3 linked regions of the Saccharomyces cerevisiae S288C genome follow. The gene in region 3 interacts genetically with the main gene of each other region. Each region holds a gene or a part of one and is shown on either strand. Other genes may lie near its edges.

Region 1 (5,478 bases), on a different chromosome or scaffold from region 3:
AAGGAGCCTGTGAGTGAGAAGTTCTTAGAATCTGGTTACGATATCGTTAAACAGTCAATGTCATTGTCCAATGGTGATAGCAAACTAATTATCGCCGGGTTTACTATCGCAAAATTTTTGAAACCAGATAACAAGCATAGAGATATACAAGGTATGGCAATTAGCTATGCTGTTAAAATTTTGGAAAACTACTCTGAAAATTTTGAATCTGAAACAATTCCCCTTTTCAGAATATCAATGTCTACATTGTACAAGATTATAACGACCGGACAAGGCGATATTTCTAAGCATAAATCGAGAATTCTGGATATATTTTCCAAAATTATGCTTCGATATCATTCTAAAAAAGTGTACCATGCGCCAGAAGAACAGGAAATGTTTTTGGTTCATTCACTCCTTACAGAAAACAAGTTGGAGTATATTTTTGCAGAGTACTTAAATATTGAGCATACAGATAAGTGCGATTCTGCCTTGGGGTTCTGCTTGGAAGAAAGTCTTAAACAAGGTCCTGATGCGTTTAACCGCCTGCTCTGGAACAGTGCTAAATCGTTTTCCACCATTAGCCAACCTTGTGCTGAAAAATTTGTGAGAGTTTTTATCATAATGTCAAAAAGGATTGCAAGAGACAATAACCTTGGTCATCACCTATTTGTGATAGCTTTACTTGAAGCCTACACCTATTGTGATATAGAAAAATTTGGCTACAAGTCATACTTGCTACTGTTCAATGCTATCAAGGAGTTCTTAGTATCGAAACCATGGCTATTCAGCCAATACTGTATTGAAATGCTGCTTCCTTTCTGTTTAAAAACTCTCGCTTTTATAGTAAACCATGAGTCAACGGATGAAATCAATGAAGGCTTTATTAACATCATCGAAGTGATAGATCATATGCTATTAGTTCACAGGTTTAAATTTTCCAATCGTCACCATTTGTTTAACTCCGTTCTTTGCCAGATACTAGAAATAATAGCAATTCATGATGGTACATTGTGTGCAAATTCAGCAGACGCCGTAGCCAGACTAATAACGAACTACTGCGAGCCTTATAATGTATCAAACGCTCAAAATGGGCAGAAAAATAACTTAAGCTCAAAGATAAGTTTGATAAAGCAGTCCATCAGAAAAAATGTACTTGTGGTTCTAACGAAATATATACAGTTGTCTATTACGACGCAGTTCAGTTTAAACATAAAAAAGAGTCTGCAGCCCGGTATTCATGCGATTTTTGATATATTATCTCAGAACGAGTTGAATCAATTGAACGCTTTCCTTGACACACCTGGGAAACAATATTTCAAAGCACTTTACCTCCAATACAAAAAGGTTGGTAAATGGCGCGAAGATTAACTTATGTGTTTTAGTGTGTTTTCAAAAGGCATTTCTCTGCTCACGTTTAATAACAGGGTGACGGAGCTTAAACAAGTAAAAATTGATAAAAGTCTGTATCATATAATTTTGAATAATCTATACTAGCGCCTTAAAAATTACATAAATGTCTAATCATATAACGTTACCATTTCGATTAGTGGTAAACCTTTTGATTATGAAATGGATAACTGACCAACATCTTCTATCAAGTGCTTCATTATATGTAAATTTCGCACCGTGAACTTCTCGATACTTAATTCTTTTGAACCTCAAAATATCTTTAGCAGTGACCAACCCCTTTAAAATTCCACTTTCCTCTACGATGATAGTCTTACAACCTAGCTCTTTAAACATACGGAATAACAATGTTACTGGCACCGCCTTCTTCACCGAGATTGGAGATTCATTCATAATATCCTTAAATCCGATGCAGTTTTCACGATGTCCCAACTCTTCGTTAGACTTATTGAAGTATACCAGTGTCGTTTGAGCTTTGGTGCTATTTACGCTTTGCATCATGATTTTACTGGCTAAGTGCCTTTTTAAAACATAGCCAATACATCTTTTTTCCTTCTCAAACTTATCCTCATCCTTAGTTATTGGAAAACCATGCACAGAATATTCAGACGCTGAGTCGTACAACAAAGATTCAAGCTCGGAAAGGTAAATGGTTTCATTAATAGTAATTAATTTGGAGGACATGAGCTGCTCTGCAGTGTATTTTTCTAAGGTTTCCTCCTCTTCCTCGTCTTGCTCGTCTTCCAAATATGGGAATCCATTAACCATGATCATTTGATCAGCAATACCGCCAGAAATACCAGACGTGCTTAAAATTATCCTTGTTATTGCCACTACAATCATAAGGGGTATGATATACATGAAGGCGCCTGTTAGCTCGAACATTATTACCACCACAGTTAAAGTCAAGTTAGTTATCCCGCTCAAGGTAGCGGCTGCTCCCAGGAAGGCGTAGGCACCAGGAGTAATAACAGAAGGGCCACTTATAAATCTCTCTACCAGTAGACTTACTGCCCGTCCAAATGTGGCCCCAACCGCCATTGAAGGAACAAAGATTCCGGCAGGAACTCTGGCGCCATATGATACCACCACCAACAAGGCCCTGATAACAGTGGCAAAGCATAGGGAAGTAAAAATTTTTAAGAACTCAAAAGCGTGCGTATTTTCATCCAACTGACATAACCTATGACTAAAAGTTGAGGTGTTATCGTTCTTGACACATTCATGAAACAATATACCCATACTTTCTGTCATGTCTAATTTCAAGAACTCATTGAAGTAAGAAATCAAAGCAGTAAGCGTCGCCAAAAAAAGCACTTCTTGAACTGGCCATGAGGACAGGTACATTTTGCGAAAGTGAATAAAGTTGATGTTCCACTTACTAATATATTTTCCATATAAACCACCAAAGATTCCTAAGGCTATAAAGATCGGAATCTCTTGTACCTTCCAGTCTCTATCATATGTTACATTGAATAAAATAACTCTGCCATTCCTAAATGGATCAATGTACTTCAAAGTAGTTATTGCGACTAGGGCGACATAATAGGATTTCCATAAGGTAGAGGAGTTAAACCTATTCGCAGAAGCAATCTCTTCCAAACCAAAAAGGACACCACCAATAGGAGCACCAAAAGCAACCGCAACACCTGCTCCACTAGCTGCTGTGATATACTCATATTGCGATGAATACGTCAAAGTATCTCTTAGTAGCCATTTTGTGAGTAAGTACCCACAACAGGTTGCATAATGAACTGAGGGCCCTTCTTTACCTACGCTTAATCCCGAAGAAATAGCCAAAGGAAGGGCAACACTTTTAATGACTAATGTTAAGAAACCCAAAAATTCCTTATTGTATTCAAAACCTGATACCCATACCTTAATCTCTGAGATTCCTGAACCAGTAGCCATAGGAGCAACATATTTGACTAACAGTGTACTAATTAGAGCAAATAAGACTGACAAAAGCATGAAAATTATAAAAGGGGACACATGTCCCTTCCAGGCAATCCAAAGCCCTTGTGCCTCGCATTCAAACTCTTGTCTTTTCAGTAGTAAATTGCTTGTAGAGGTAACCTCATTAACCACGCCGTTACAACAGAAGGATTTATTAAGTAGCCAGTTCCTCTGACAATGACCTGTTTTCCAGTTAACCAGAGTTTCCGTGAAGACTTGTAGGAAACCAGCAATACATCCAATAACTATGGCCGTAGAGCTTAATGTGATAAATGTTTTTGCACGGTCCCATATAACCTCTCGGTAATGTCGATATTTTGAATTAAGGAACTCCCTGTCCGAGTCTACAGACAGTGGTCTATTTTCCTCAGCAATCTTATCAATTGTAACAAATTGGTCAAAATTTTGCGTTTCTGGAATATTGGTGAATCGATTGGTGTCAATGACATCTTCACCATCCCCAATTGGTTGATTTATTGGCACATAAGTTGTTGGCATTAGTGTCAAATAATTTTATAGTATGCAAGATCAACATTCACCGCCCTTTCTATACGGTGTGCTTTTATGAAGACTGGAGAACAGGCGGTGCTTTTCCTTTTTTTATGGGTTCGAAATCGCGACATTTCTGTCCTTAATAAGTGAAAATCATATAAATCTATTTACTAATAATGATAGCCAATGTGAAGTGTTTCTTAAGAAACACGTAAAAGGCTCTTAAGAAATCTTTGAACTACAAAACCGATCTTATTTGAAATGTGTGATAAGTATCATTTTTCGGACAGCATTCGGTCCTACGGTCATGGCCATATTATAGCGTGTATTTAACAATGACTTTTGCTAAACGAAGAACAAACAAAAACAACACCGCTTCAAGAATTTTACTTGAAAACTATACTAAAAAAGGAAAGTAAATTTGTAAGTGTATATATCATAACGTAGACACTAAATTTCAGATATTACAGTGTGATCATCCATTTGAGGATCGAGGAAGCCCAGGAACTTTTGAACCGACCGCTTTGCGAAGACAGCTTTCTTTTCTGATAAGATATGTAATGAGATATCTGACTCTTCATGCAGGATTCCGATCACATAACAACCGTTAGACAAGGTACTTACTAAGAATAAGGGCATAAATGTAGATTCGCCTAAAAACGTGCTCATTCTGGAATCAGTAGTTCTTACAGAGTTGATGGTTGTAACTTGCTCAGCAACATGGTACACTCTTTCGTCTATTTCTTCCTCACCATCAAGTTTTAAACTAAATAACGTGAGCTTTTGATCACCGTACGAAATTAGTAGATACCTAATATTCTTGAAAGTTATAGCGGCTGCACCGGTAAACATTTTCCCGGTGTCGGTAATGCTATTGATGAGGTCCCTCTCAAATAAATTCAGAGGCTGTACCTGCAATTGAACCTTTTCTATGTTACCGTCTGTTGTATGGATGACATTGAACCTCATCACACCTTTCCGTACATCAAGTAAAATCATTTCTTCCAAATAAACCCATGTACCTATATTTTGCTGCTTCCTAGCCATCTTTGCCTTCCTTTTATCAAAAAATATAGATGATGTTATTGTAATACCAGAAATATTCAACCTATTTGAAACCTGTTCAATACTGAACTTGTTATCATGAACTGAATAGTTCAGTTGATAAGCTTGCACAAACTCCCCATAAACCAAAACACATCCATTGTAATAGTTATGTAACCCACTGATTGAGAACCCCGTGTTAATCCCAAAAACAAATTCAATAAAACCCGATTCCTCATCAAATGAAAACAATAATAGGTTATTCATATTTTTACTATCAATACCGTCTATTGAGTCTAAATTTAGAGACACCAAGATACATGAATTGAAAATCACTTCCTTATACAGCTCAGAAGTCTTTCTTTTTCCTAATGTTTCGGTTCTTTTGAGCATGGGTACGGCAATAATATCTGATATCATAGCGTTTTCATATTTTATACTCTCGATATCATTGTTGAGGTTAGAAAAATTGAATGCGGAAATGTTTTTGAACTGTTTAATATCATACACATAAATTTCGGAATACTTGTCCTGCAATGGATTTGCTACTGGCAGGGCCGCTACAATCACATATCTTGATGAAGATTCCAAAGTTAT
Region 2 (4,771 bases), on a different chromosome or scaffold from region 3:
AAATCGAAGTATCCAGATTATTTGCCTACATGGGATCCTACTGAAAAGTATGGCCCGCTGGAATTTCACGAATACCATGATCCTGCTTTGAGAGCTGACGGTAACTTTTCAAACCTTTTTGCAAAAGAAAACGTTGGTCAACTAAAGGTGAAGAAGATCACCCCGAAATTAGGTCTCGAGATCAATGGGATCCAGCTAACTGATCTTTCTGATGCTGCAAAAGATGAACTCGCTTTGCTTGTCGCCCAAAAGGGAGTAGTTGTCTTTAGAAATCAGAATTTTGCTGACGAGGGACCCGATTATGTGACTGAATACGGAAGACATTTTGGCAAGTTGCACATTCATCAAACTAGTGGCCACCCTCAAAACAATCCTGAGCTGCATATCACTTTCCGAAGACCTGATGCGGAAGAATTTGCAAGAGTTTTTGATGACTCGACATCATCTGGTGGCTGGCACACAGACGTCTCTTACGAGTTACAGCCACCTTCTTATACTTTCTTTAGTGTTGTTGAAGGTCCTGATGGTGGTGGAGATACGTTATTTGCGGATACGATCGAGGCTTTCGACAGGTTGTCGAAGCCTTTGCAAGATTTCTTGAGCACGCTTCATGTCATCCATAGCTCAAAGGAACAGGCAGAGAATTCACAGCGCCAGGGCGGCATAAAAAGAAGAGCACCTGTCACGCATATTCATCCACTGGTCAGAGTTCATCCTGTCTTGAAAAAGAAATGCTTGTATGTCAATCGTGCATTTTCTAGGAAAATAGTCGAATTGAAAAGACAAGAATCTGAATCACTTTTGAATTTCTTGTACAATCTAGTGGAGAGCAGCCATGATTTACAGTTAAGAGCCAAATGGGAACCTCATTCCGTCGTCATTTGGGATAACCGCAGAGTTCAACATTCAGCAGTGATTGATTGGGAAGAACCAATTCACAGACATGCGTTCAGGATTACTCCACAAGCGGAAAGGCCCGTGGAAGATCTAAAGTTTTTGAATGATGAAAATTATTATCCTTCTTCATTAACTTTGGATATTTGAATTTCAAAGATGCAGGTTGTATATAGCCGGAATTCGTTGCAGAGGCAGTTCCAACGTTGCTCAACTTATTCTTTTTTTTGGTTAAAATTGTGTATAAACCTTAAAATAGCGGCGACAACACTTCTTTTTTATAGTTTATAGTAAACCCCAACCTGTGTACATATAAACTAAAGAAAAACTGTGACGCTTTTATTCTGGTAAAGAAACTCTGAAGTTACAGATCAACTAATTCAGAGCGATATAATGTTGAAGTCAATAAGAAGGAACATCTTCAGTTTATAAACAACTAGTGATCTTATGAGCTCTGTCTACTTTCATTAATTAAGATCCATGTGAAGGTTCCAGAAAAGACTTCCTCCAAAAAAATTATATGCTAGAATGGAAAAAAACTTTTATAAACAATATTCTATAAAGATTATAAAGAATTCTTGATTTTTGATATTCTACTCATGATCTGCTTCATGAGTGTTTGGAGCCTCTGCTTTTCACAACATCTAAAGCACTTGAAAAAACTTTCAATAACCACTGGATATCTTCTAAACCTACGCTTACTCTAATAATGTTGGGGTCGGCCCCAAACTTGGAAACTTCTTCTAATTCTGAGTGGTGCGCCAGATGGACATATGGACATGCTAAGGTAAAGTTAGTACCATTAGAAGGTCCCTTGAATACCTTTAAAGAGTCATAGAATGCTTTTGCATCGCCCTCATTGAAAAAGGCTACAGAGAACAAGCATCCATAGCCACCACGTTCATTACGTACACTTTCGTAGTTCTCAAAGGTCTCCTTAGAAGTAACAGTTGGATAATAAATCTTTTTGCATATTTTCCCCTCCTCGGGTAAAAGCAAATCATTCAACAATATTCCTGTGTTTGCATTAGCACGTAAAGTTCTATCTTCAAAATCCCTGGAATTACGTTCTAAAACTATCGCATCTTCACACCATAACAAATCCTCGAAATTAGCGCTCCTGAAGTACTCACGAGCATATGGATACAGAGATGATTTCGGATTTAAAACGACAGAGCCGCCCATTACATTACTAGCACCATTGAAAAGCTTAGTCAGGGACGTGCTGACTATATCAGCATAGGGCAAGATGTCAACGTTAAGGCCCCCAATAGTATCATCAATTACAATAAAAAAGCCATACTGGTCGGCCAAACTCCTCAATTTTTTCAAATCCGGCATATTCAGCAGAGGATTTGAAGGTGTCTCGACGAAAACGGCAAGAATGCGTTGTTTGCTTGTTTCTAAAAACTTTTGTAATTCGACAACGTCTCTAGAATTTCCAAATCCAAAAAATTTACATTTTCCAAATTTAGTCATAATGACCTGCGTATCTTTGAAAGGGAAGCCGAAGATGCCAACAGTGTCACATAATAATGGCTTTTTCTTTTGGTCAGAGGTGGTCTTGTTTAATGAATCTCCTGAATTCTTCTTCTCCTCCCAAAAGGTGAGTAAATTACGAGCCGTAGATATTGCAGACATGCCACTTGATACAAGATAAACGTCTTCATTTGGGTTGAGGTTGAGTCCCTCCCAATTCGGGGTTTTCTTCTCCAAACCAAAGGGCCTGAAGCGATTCTCAACTATCCTTCCCTTTATCAGGTTCTTTGCTTTCTCCTCCCCCTTCTTTGCTGCAAAAACACCAGCCTCTAGCTCACGCAATACCTGCTCTGAGCCATGATTAGCGCAGTCAAGAAGTTGGTTGACAGACAACGCCAATCGACTAGATACACATTCACCTCTTAATTTCCAATACTCTTTCACAGTCTCGAACTCTTCCTCCGATGCAAGGACAGCAGCAATGGTTAGCACCAATTCCGCCGGTTCTTTCGACGTTTTTGCCCCACGGTTTTTAATCGTAACTGTTTCCACTTCAAGGTGAGCTTTACTTTCAGGTCCTGAGACAGATTTTACGTACTCGAAACACTTTAAACCCAGGTTAACGGATGGAAAAGGACGACAGTTTTCTGAACCTCGCCCAAATTTCTTAACAAAGTAAGCACAAAGCCTCTGGACGGGGGGTTGAGGAAAGTACCTCGGATATCCTGTAGCCATTTTGCCTATTACCTCTGGCACCTTTTCCGCATAGCCTATTGCCGAATCCCATGTAGGAATGCCAAAAGAAACAGCATAGTCTAGATTGCTGGGAAGGGGTTGCCCAAATTCAATTTCCGTCATAATAATTTCCACGATGATTAATAGTTGTTCAGTGGTGGTTGAGTACTAGATTTAAAATTTATGTTTTACCGCACCAGAGAAGAATCACTCAATGCTGGAATTGATGAATTGCATCTTGACAATAGGCATTAATATACTTTTTCAAACACATCATTGTAGTGTGCGGCATAACAACCGTGGCGCGTGTCAAGGACTTCTCGGAACACATGCTAAAGCTCCAGTCTCTATCCGTCTATTCTTTAATTTGCTCGTTTAAGAAAGAATAAAATGCCGTATACAGTTATTTCTTCCGTAAATAAATCTTCTTCAACATCCTTTCTTGAGAGCAGCCACACAAATCTAGAGGTGTCTGACTTAATGCAACACAAGGTCAATCTGAATTCAAAGCTGTGGCTGCATATTCATTAAACATATCTTTGAAGGATATCATTTTAGGTATTGCATTGAGTGGGCTTTTGAATCAAAGCCTAAAATGGGAGTATTATGAAAGCAGAGTAAAAATGTTCAGCACGTTGATCTTGAAAGCAGACGGAAAGTCTTATTAGATGAAATTAATGCTGAAATCTCGAAACTGTTCGCTCAGCTACCATGTGCATGTGTGTGGTGTTGGTATATTTTAGTATACTTCTTGATAAAGGTACCAAAGTACTGTATACACATGATAATAACTGGTTAGTCATCCTGGTGTTTTACTTCTTGGCATTCGGCTCGATCATGAGGATTTCGGGCCGAACCTGCTCCGAAGAAATGAAGAAATCTTTCGGCCAGGCATCATATCACAATGGGTTGCAGAATTTCTCGAAGGAATCACCTGTAGGAGTGAACCTCGAAAAAAAGAAAACACATATTTCATGCTGCATCATCCTTGCAACACAACGCTTCCTGCAGAAGTTTTCGAACAAAAGGCTTGGCAATCCTCACTTACACCCCACTCGCGAATCCACATTTTCACGTGAGCTTGCAACAGAGAATAATAGCGGAAACTTTCCCGTATTACTTAGATATCATATCTTCAGACAGCTAGATATCGAAAATGGAATTTTATTATGTCAAGTTCTGCAGGCGCTAATTATTGTTCAAGTAATGTTTTCGTGAGTCTAAAAGCTCGTACAATAGTTCTTTTTTTGGAACCCATTATGAAGCGGAGTGGATGAATAATACGGAATGAAAAGGGCGATAATGGCAAACAATTACGAGCAAAATTCGATGGATGCCGTATCACATTTGCGACAAAAAAATGATCAAAGATGGTAATAGAGTAAAATTTCACGAATGGAGGGCAGATACAAGAGCGAGATGCCAATAGATCGCAGATTAATGCAGCTGCATTTTCATCAGAAAGAGGTGCGCGTGAACTGTAGGAACAGTAGTGCAATTGGGAGTACGTTAACCACACATTTTGAAATCAAGAAGGAAAGTAGGCGCTGGAAATGACCCGAATCCTATAATCGGACAAGAAGGACATAGAAATCGGTATTTACAGTAAATATTCAAAAGACCTTCTACTACCGTGTGCAAAACAGGGAGTGGATACAAGTGG
Region 3 (5,946 bases):
ATATTCCCTCTAAGACGCTTTTTTTTTTTTTTTTTTTTTAAGAATACCATATTAGACTTACATAAGGCCTCATCGGCCTTCTATTTTAACCTTTACAAATCTATAAAAAAATTCACAAATAGTCTTTTTTATTGGCAGTCCTTATGAATCTTCTCAACTGCCACTCAACATCAGCGTCCTTATTTTCTAAAGTTCCCAACCTCAGTTCAAACAACCTCATCTCAAATCTAGGACCAACTTCGGCAATCTCTACTCCCTCTCTTGTTCTCACATATACATGCTGTCTAACGCTAATGAAATCACCCCTATTCGCAAAAGTGATTACTCTTTCGGAATCTTTTTTGGGCCCCGCATTGAACAAGTGCTTTAAAATACAGACTACTCTTTTCCCTAAAGCGGTAGTAAAGTTATCAAATATTAGATGTGGATTCACTTCGCTTTGGTTACCAGCATTTATAATATCATGTCTCATAACAACATTGTGTAAACTAAACTGTGCAGTGGGTCCATGTGGAAAATGTGATATGGTCAAAGAAGTTGGAACACCTCTATGTTCATGTAATACCACCAAATCTGTAGTACCGGATTTTTTACAAGCATCCACTAGATTTGGCATCACATAATTACCTCTGTTCAGCCTGACAGCATTTGGAAATAGCAGTTTAATTTCTTTGGCAAATTGCGAGAGACGAGTGCTTGGGTCACGAGATGTTGTGACGATGATTCTTGGATCCATTATACCACTTGTGGCAGCATATTCATCATCAACCTGTAGATCATCTGCTTCTTCGCTCTCCTTTAAACTTTGGTCATATCTGAAATCCTTTTGTAAACTCTCATCTTCTGCTAGTTCCTTTGGCAATGGCTTCCCCTGAGCTAGCGCTTGTTTAATTATTTGACGTTTTTGTTGCAGTTGAGAATCTTGTAATTCTTGCGCTTTTCTGTATAGATATTCTCTCCTTTCACGGGCTTGTCTTCTTAGCATTTCGATTTAACTGTTTTATTATTTATGGGAACACTTGAATCAATGATAAAACCGAGTATATATGCCCTTTCAAGTCCAACCTCATGCAATCAATATATACGCTACTTCATGCATTTTCATCTCATCGCATTTCCGGGATAAAATTTTTTATATTTTTCAGTACACAATATCCGTTACCCGAAGTGAATAGTGTGTCATTAGAAGGAACTCTTTCACTGCGTAGATAGTAAAATATATGACATTATCTTTTTTTGAAAGAACTTTAAATACTGTATCTGATTTATTTAACTTAGTAATCATATTCGCCCTCCATTACTCGTCTTACGCCCCAGTGCTTCCGTTCTCTGATTAGAGGTGTCATCATTACCATTTCCATTACTGTTTGCAATACTCGTATTGTCAAGCCGTGATATTGTACGTACCATCTTTTCTTCCTCAGAGATCTCCATTCTGGTCTTCAAAAACCCAGTATTCCTGTTCTTGGATGGGATATCCATCGACTGCCGCCTCGAAAAACGATGTCGCGTATTACTACCAGTGGCAATCGCCATTCGTTGTTGGTGAATGTTATTTGGCAAAAACATGTGAGTAGATAAGGCGGTGGGCAGTATAGTTTGAGCAGTTAGCGGAGCATTAGATTCATATAAATGATTGGACTCATTATCAGTTTTGAAGTCCTTTTGTATATCCATCGATAACCGCTCATTGTTGGATGGTTGCGGGGGAGATAGCGATGCTAGAGCTGTCACGTTGCTTGTTTTCAAAGAAGGTTTTTGTTGTTTTATACCATTAGCGCTCGGTGGATTTTGCTGCGGTTGAGGACCGATATTACTATGAGAGGACTGAGGAGTCGGCGAAACGTGTTTAGAAGCGTATTCACTATGTGCAGTATTGTGGTTATTACTGTTGCTATTTGCCTCACTAAGGAATAGTCCACTGAGTAAACTTTTTCGTACGGGATCATGGGATGTGTTTGAGTTGATTGTGTTCGCTGATGAAACAGATGATTTCGTTGAGTCAAGATTCTGTTGATTTTTGGCAAATAAAAGCTTGTCCCATTGTCTTCTATAGTACTGATCTGCTTCTTCCTCATTATAATCATCGTACTCTTCATCATCTTCATCAGCGTAGAATTCTGAATCATTCGAAACGCTGTCCCAATCGGAATCTTCATCTTCACTGCTGAAAAATATCTTGTTTTTTCCTTTTCTAGAGGATGTTTTCGAAAGTGACAGTTGACCATTTTGGTCATTCTTGTAAGACCTTGGCCTTCCGAATAAAGATTCCTTCTGAGGAAAAGAGGATTTTCTACTTCCCATATTTTCAAGAGTAGGACTGGTACTCTTGGAAGTCTCATTATCAATGCAGTTCATGTTCATGTCTCCTATATGCTGGAAAGGTGATCTTGAGCGTCTTGATTGTAAAGGTTTCTTGGTTATAACAGTGCTTGTATCAAAACCAGTGATAATAGTTTGTGGTTCTTCCTTATTAGCAACATGGTTCACATTTTTCATTTTTTGATATTTGTCTGCAAAATTTGAAAACAACCCTGACGTAGTAGATTTGGAGAATTGTCTGTTTGGAGCAACGTCATTTTTCACATCATTGTTTGTAGAATTAGGATTATCCAAGGATCTATCGTGAGCACCCTGTGCGATAGCTGGTGATGTCATTGGCCGAGTTAAAACGTTCTGTTTTGCCGTTGTGGGAGGCAAATTGGCCTTTTGTAATGGTGGCTGCTTTACTGCTGCCTGCTTTGGCTTTATTGGCTGTTTGTTGTTTGGATTTAACACATAATATATGTTCTTCACGCCGTCTCTTTTTTTAGATCGATTAATATTATGCTCCTTTAGAACAGCTTTATTCAGAATTCTCCAACTTATATTGTGCAGCCTTTCTCCCTGCTCGACACATTTGGATGCTTTTATTAACGTAAGATATAGTTCGACATCATCAAATAAATTCAATCGCTCTGGGGTAAATAAATTAGGTGTGACTTTTAAAAACTTGTTAGTACCTATATTCGGTACATCAAATGCCTCCCGCGACATCAGTTCTTTTTTTTTATTAGGATTAGAGAATAATTAGGAAGTGTTGCTTAAGTAAATGAGATGGAACTAAGGGGTAGTTCTCTTTTTTCTTGAGGGTTGTGCTCTGTTCGTTTTCACGCAATAGTACAGTATATGTTTCTCCTTTTGTTCAGATCATTCAAATAAAAAGCAAAAAGGAAAGAAAATGAACACTTGGGTTAAAGATCCCTACTGCTGAAACCAAAACGATATTTTGATGAACTTAGAAATATGATCAGTGGTGAACTTCCCTTGCTTCTCTGTAACAACGGCATGCACATTCTAATCGGTTTTTTTTTTTGCTTTTCTGTTAAGTAACCTCCCACGATCTCTTGGCAGGCACTAAGAAAAAGATGAATAACAATGTATTACACGCTAAAAAAACTGCTAAAGGACTAGGGCTGCAATGATATTACCACCCAAACCGCGGTAAACCATCCACAGGAAGAATAGCGTATCTTTCCGCATTGCTTAAAAAAAGGAATGTCCTTATAGATAGAGTACTGATACAAAAAATAAAAATAGAAAATGTATAACATTACTGCATGACTATATAACCTTCAATATCCATTAATATCATGGTCATAAAAACCGCTTACCGGTGAAGAATATTTATTTCGTTTCGTTTCATTATTATTATTAATATTACTTTCGTCGAATCGACGGTTGTTCCTTTTCCGAGAATCTCTTTCATTAATCAAATCACCAAGGTCGTCGTCTTCAATAACTTCATTGTTTAAATTAGGGGCCTCAAAGCTACTTAACACATGCTCTTCCACACTGTCATATGACTTCTCCAAATCGCAATAGCAGTCTGAATCTGCGGTTTCCATGGTGGAACGTTCTGCTTTAATGTATTTATCATTAGCCAGAATATTTTGTATTTTCTTAGCATTTTCAGGTTCCAGTCTCTCTGGATACGTCACATCGAATTTGACATATAGATGACCGAAACCGCTCCGAACACCGTTGATAAACTTGGGCATCCCCATGTCCTCAACAGTCTTGAAACAACCAGGCTTCAGTATCTCGCCAGGTATAATATCAAGTTTGATCAACTTACCGCTAGGGTGCCCTTCAATATAAACTACGCCTCCACATAAACTGGTCATGAAGTCGATTTTGCACTTCTTACATATCAAATTGGAGTAGTTGATAACCTGGAAATTCGGATCTTTTAAACGTAAAATGGTGATAACGACGTCACCAGGTATTACCTTTTCGTGACCGCCTCCCTTAGTACTAATAACTTCGTCACCTTCGCCCGTAAGTACTATAAGTTGGTTATGACACGATCCCGGTTGAACGGTGACTTGTAGAATCTTCCTCTCCTTAATGAAGCCAAGACCTTGGCACTGTTGGCAAATATCTTTATTTTTGACAAAAACCCCGGCACCCCCGCAATCTGCACAAGTTTGAGACCAACTTTGTACTAGAGGTCCCATACGCCTAGTTTGGGTTTGAATACCTTGCCCTTTGCATGTTTTACAAGTGCATTTCTTTAGACCACCGTGCCCATCACAAACACTGCAAATCCTTGTCCTATTCAAACCCAACTTTGCAGTCTTACCCATGTAGAGTTCCTTCAATGTGCACTTTAGATTATGTTTGATATCAGGGCCTCTATCCAAATGATGGTCCTCATCGTTGGAGTTGTATTTTGCTGACGAGGAGTACAGATTGTTCACGCCACTGCCATTAACAAAGGAGAAGCTCGGCGTAGAGCTATTATTGAAGCTAAAATTAAAACTGCTTTTGGAGCCATTAGAAGAGGGGGTAGCAGAACTATTAAAAAACTGCGCGAAAAGATCACCTGGAGATAGATCCGGGAATGACATTGCTTCCGTATCGAAATTTGAGGATGAACTGAACGGCCCGGCTTGTTGGCGTTGCGCCTGCGCCTGCTGCTCTTGAATCAGGACTTCATCTGTGGTACCGTACTGGTCATACAAAGCTCTTAAACGATTGTCTTTAAGTATTTCGTATGCCTGGCATATCTCTTGAAACTTTCGCTTGGATTCTTCTGTATGATTGTTTTTATCAGGATGATATTTTAATGCAGCGTTCCTGTAAGCTTTCTTAATCTCAGATGTGGATGCAGCGGCAGTAACGTTCAAAGAGTCATATAAAGACGTGTTTTGTTGCATTCTCCGTTATCTTGTGTCCACTGGTAGCAAAAGAAAAATGTGTTTTACTTTATCGTAGGTACAGTACGGCTCGTGTTGTTTAGAGAAATAATCACTGTATCGTGAGGTTGGTTTATTACCGATATAAACTGTTTGATGAATGTTGAATACTATTATAATCTATTCCTATCAGTATATAAAAGCGTTCAAACGATTTCACATACTTGTGGGAACGAAGAACGCGTCATTACCTTTTTAGTCTACAGATTCGATGCTCCAGTCATTTTTTTCCTTTATTTTCCGTAATGTTCTAGAAGAAATCGAGCGGGGGAAAAAGATACATAGAAGGATAATGTGATTAAATAAAGTTTGATGTCTAAGGCTATGCAATGGCTATGCAATCCAGGGGGGGTTACCTACTTAAAAGGGGTCGCTACTAAGTATACTATCGTCTTGACTGTCGGGTATAATTATAGGATTGCTTTTGGTCTCACCTGCCATCTGGAAGAGACTTGAAGGAGTAGATAAAAGGGACATGTCTAAGTCGCTGGCGTTAGAAGAGCAGACAGAGCTTTCATTCGATGCTGAACCCGGAGAGCAAAGCAAAGTCAGGCGCAGTTGCGTCCTCTGTGTTATAACCAGCATTAAGTATTCTCTCCACAGTTCCAACAGCAGTTGCTCCTTTCTTGCATGCGATTTGGTGTTCAATTTTCCTCTTCTTTTTGGGTGGTACAACACACTAGGGGAAGTATTGGACCGCCCCACA

What was found.
Region 1: mutations in MKS1 (region 3) and GEF1 together harm fitness more than expected from each alone (negative genetic interaction), as found in Saccharomyces cerevisiae (2 studies listed by BioGRID).
Region 2: mutations in MKS1 (region 3) and HSU1 together harm fitness more than expected from each alone (negative genetic interaction), as found in Saccharomyces cerevisiae (2 studies listed by BioGRID).

Annotation. Positions count from the first base shown.
Region 1 is NC_001142.9:506,111-511,588, reverse strand, and holds GEF1 (Gef1p), read right to left. Parts: upstream 3,844-5,478; coding exon 1,504-3,843; downstream 1-1,503. Other genes in the region: ribosome biogenesis protein URB2, read left to right, coding at 1-1,350; MLO127 (Mlo127p), read right to left, coding at 4,288-5,478. UniProt on the Saccharomyces cerevisiae protein: Anion/proton exchange transporter involved in iron and copper cation homeostasis. Involved in intracellular iron metabolism during growth on fermentable and non fermentable carbon sources.
Region 2 is NC_001144.5:22,029-26,799, reverse strand, and holds HSU1 (cystathionine gamma-synthase), read right to left. Parts: upstream 3,232-4,771; coding exon 1,504-3,231; downstream 1-1,503. Other genes in the region: JLP1 (sulfonate dioxygenase), read left to right, coding at 1-1,044. UniProt on the Saccharomyces cerevisiae protein: Plays a role in inorganic sulfur assimilation during sulfur-limited conditions; catalyzes the conversion of O-acetyl-L-homoserine (OAH) into homocysteine in the methionine biosynthesis pathway.
Region 3 is NC_001146.8:480,646-486,591, reverse strand, and holds MKS1 (Mks1p), read right to left. Parts: upstream 3,037-5,946; coding exon 1,282-3,036; downstream 1-1,281. Other genes in the region: snoRNA-binding rRNA-processing protein IMP4, read right to left, coding at 113-985; APJ1 (Apj1p), read right to left, coding at 3,615-5,201; NIS1 (Nis1p), read right to left, coding at 5,601-5,946. UniProt on the Saccharomyces cerevisiae protein: Negative regulator of Ras-cAMP pathway. Involved in transcriptional regulation of galactose-inducible genes.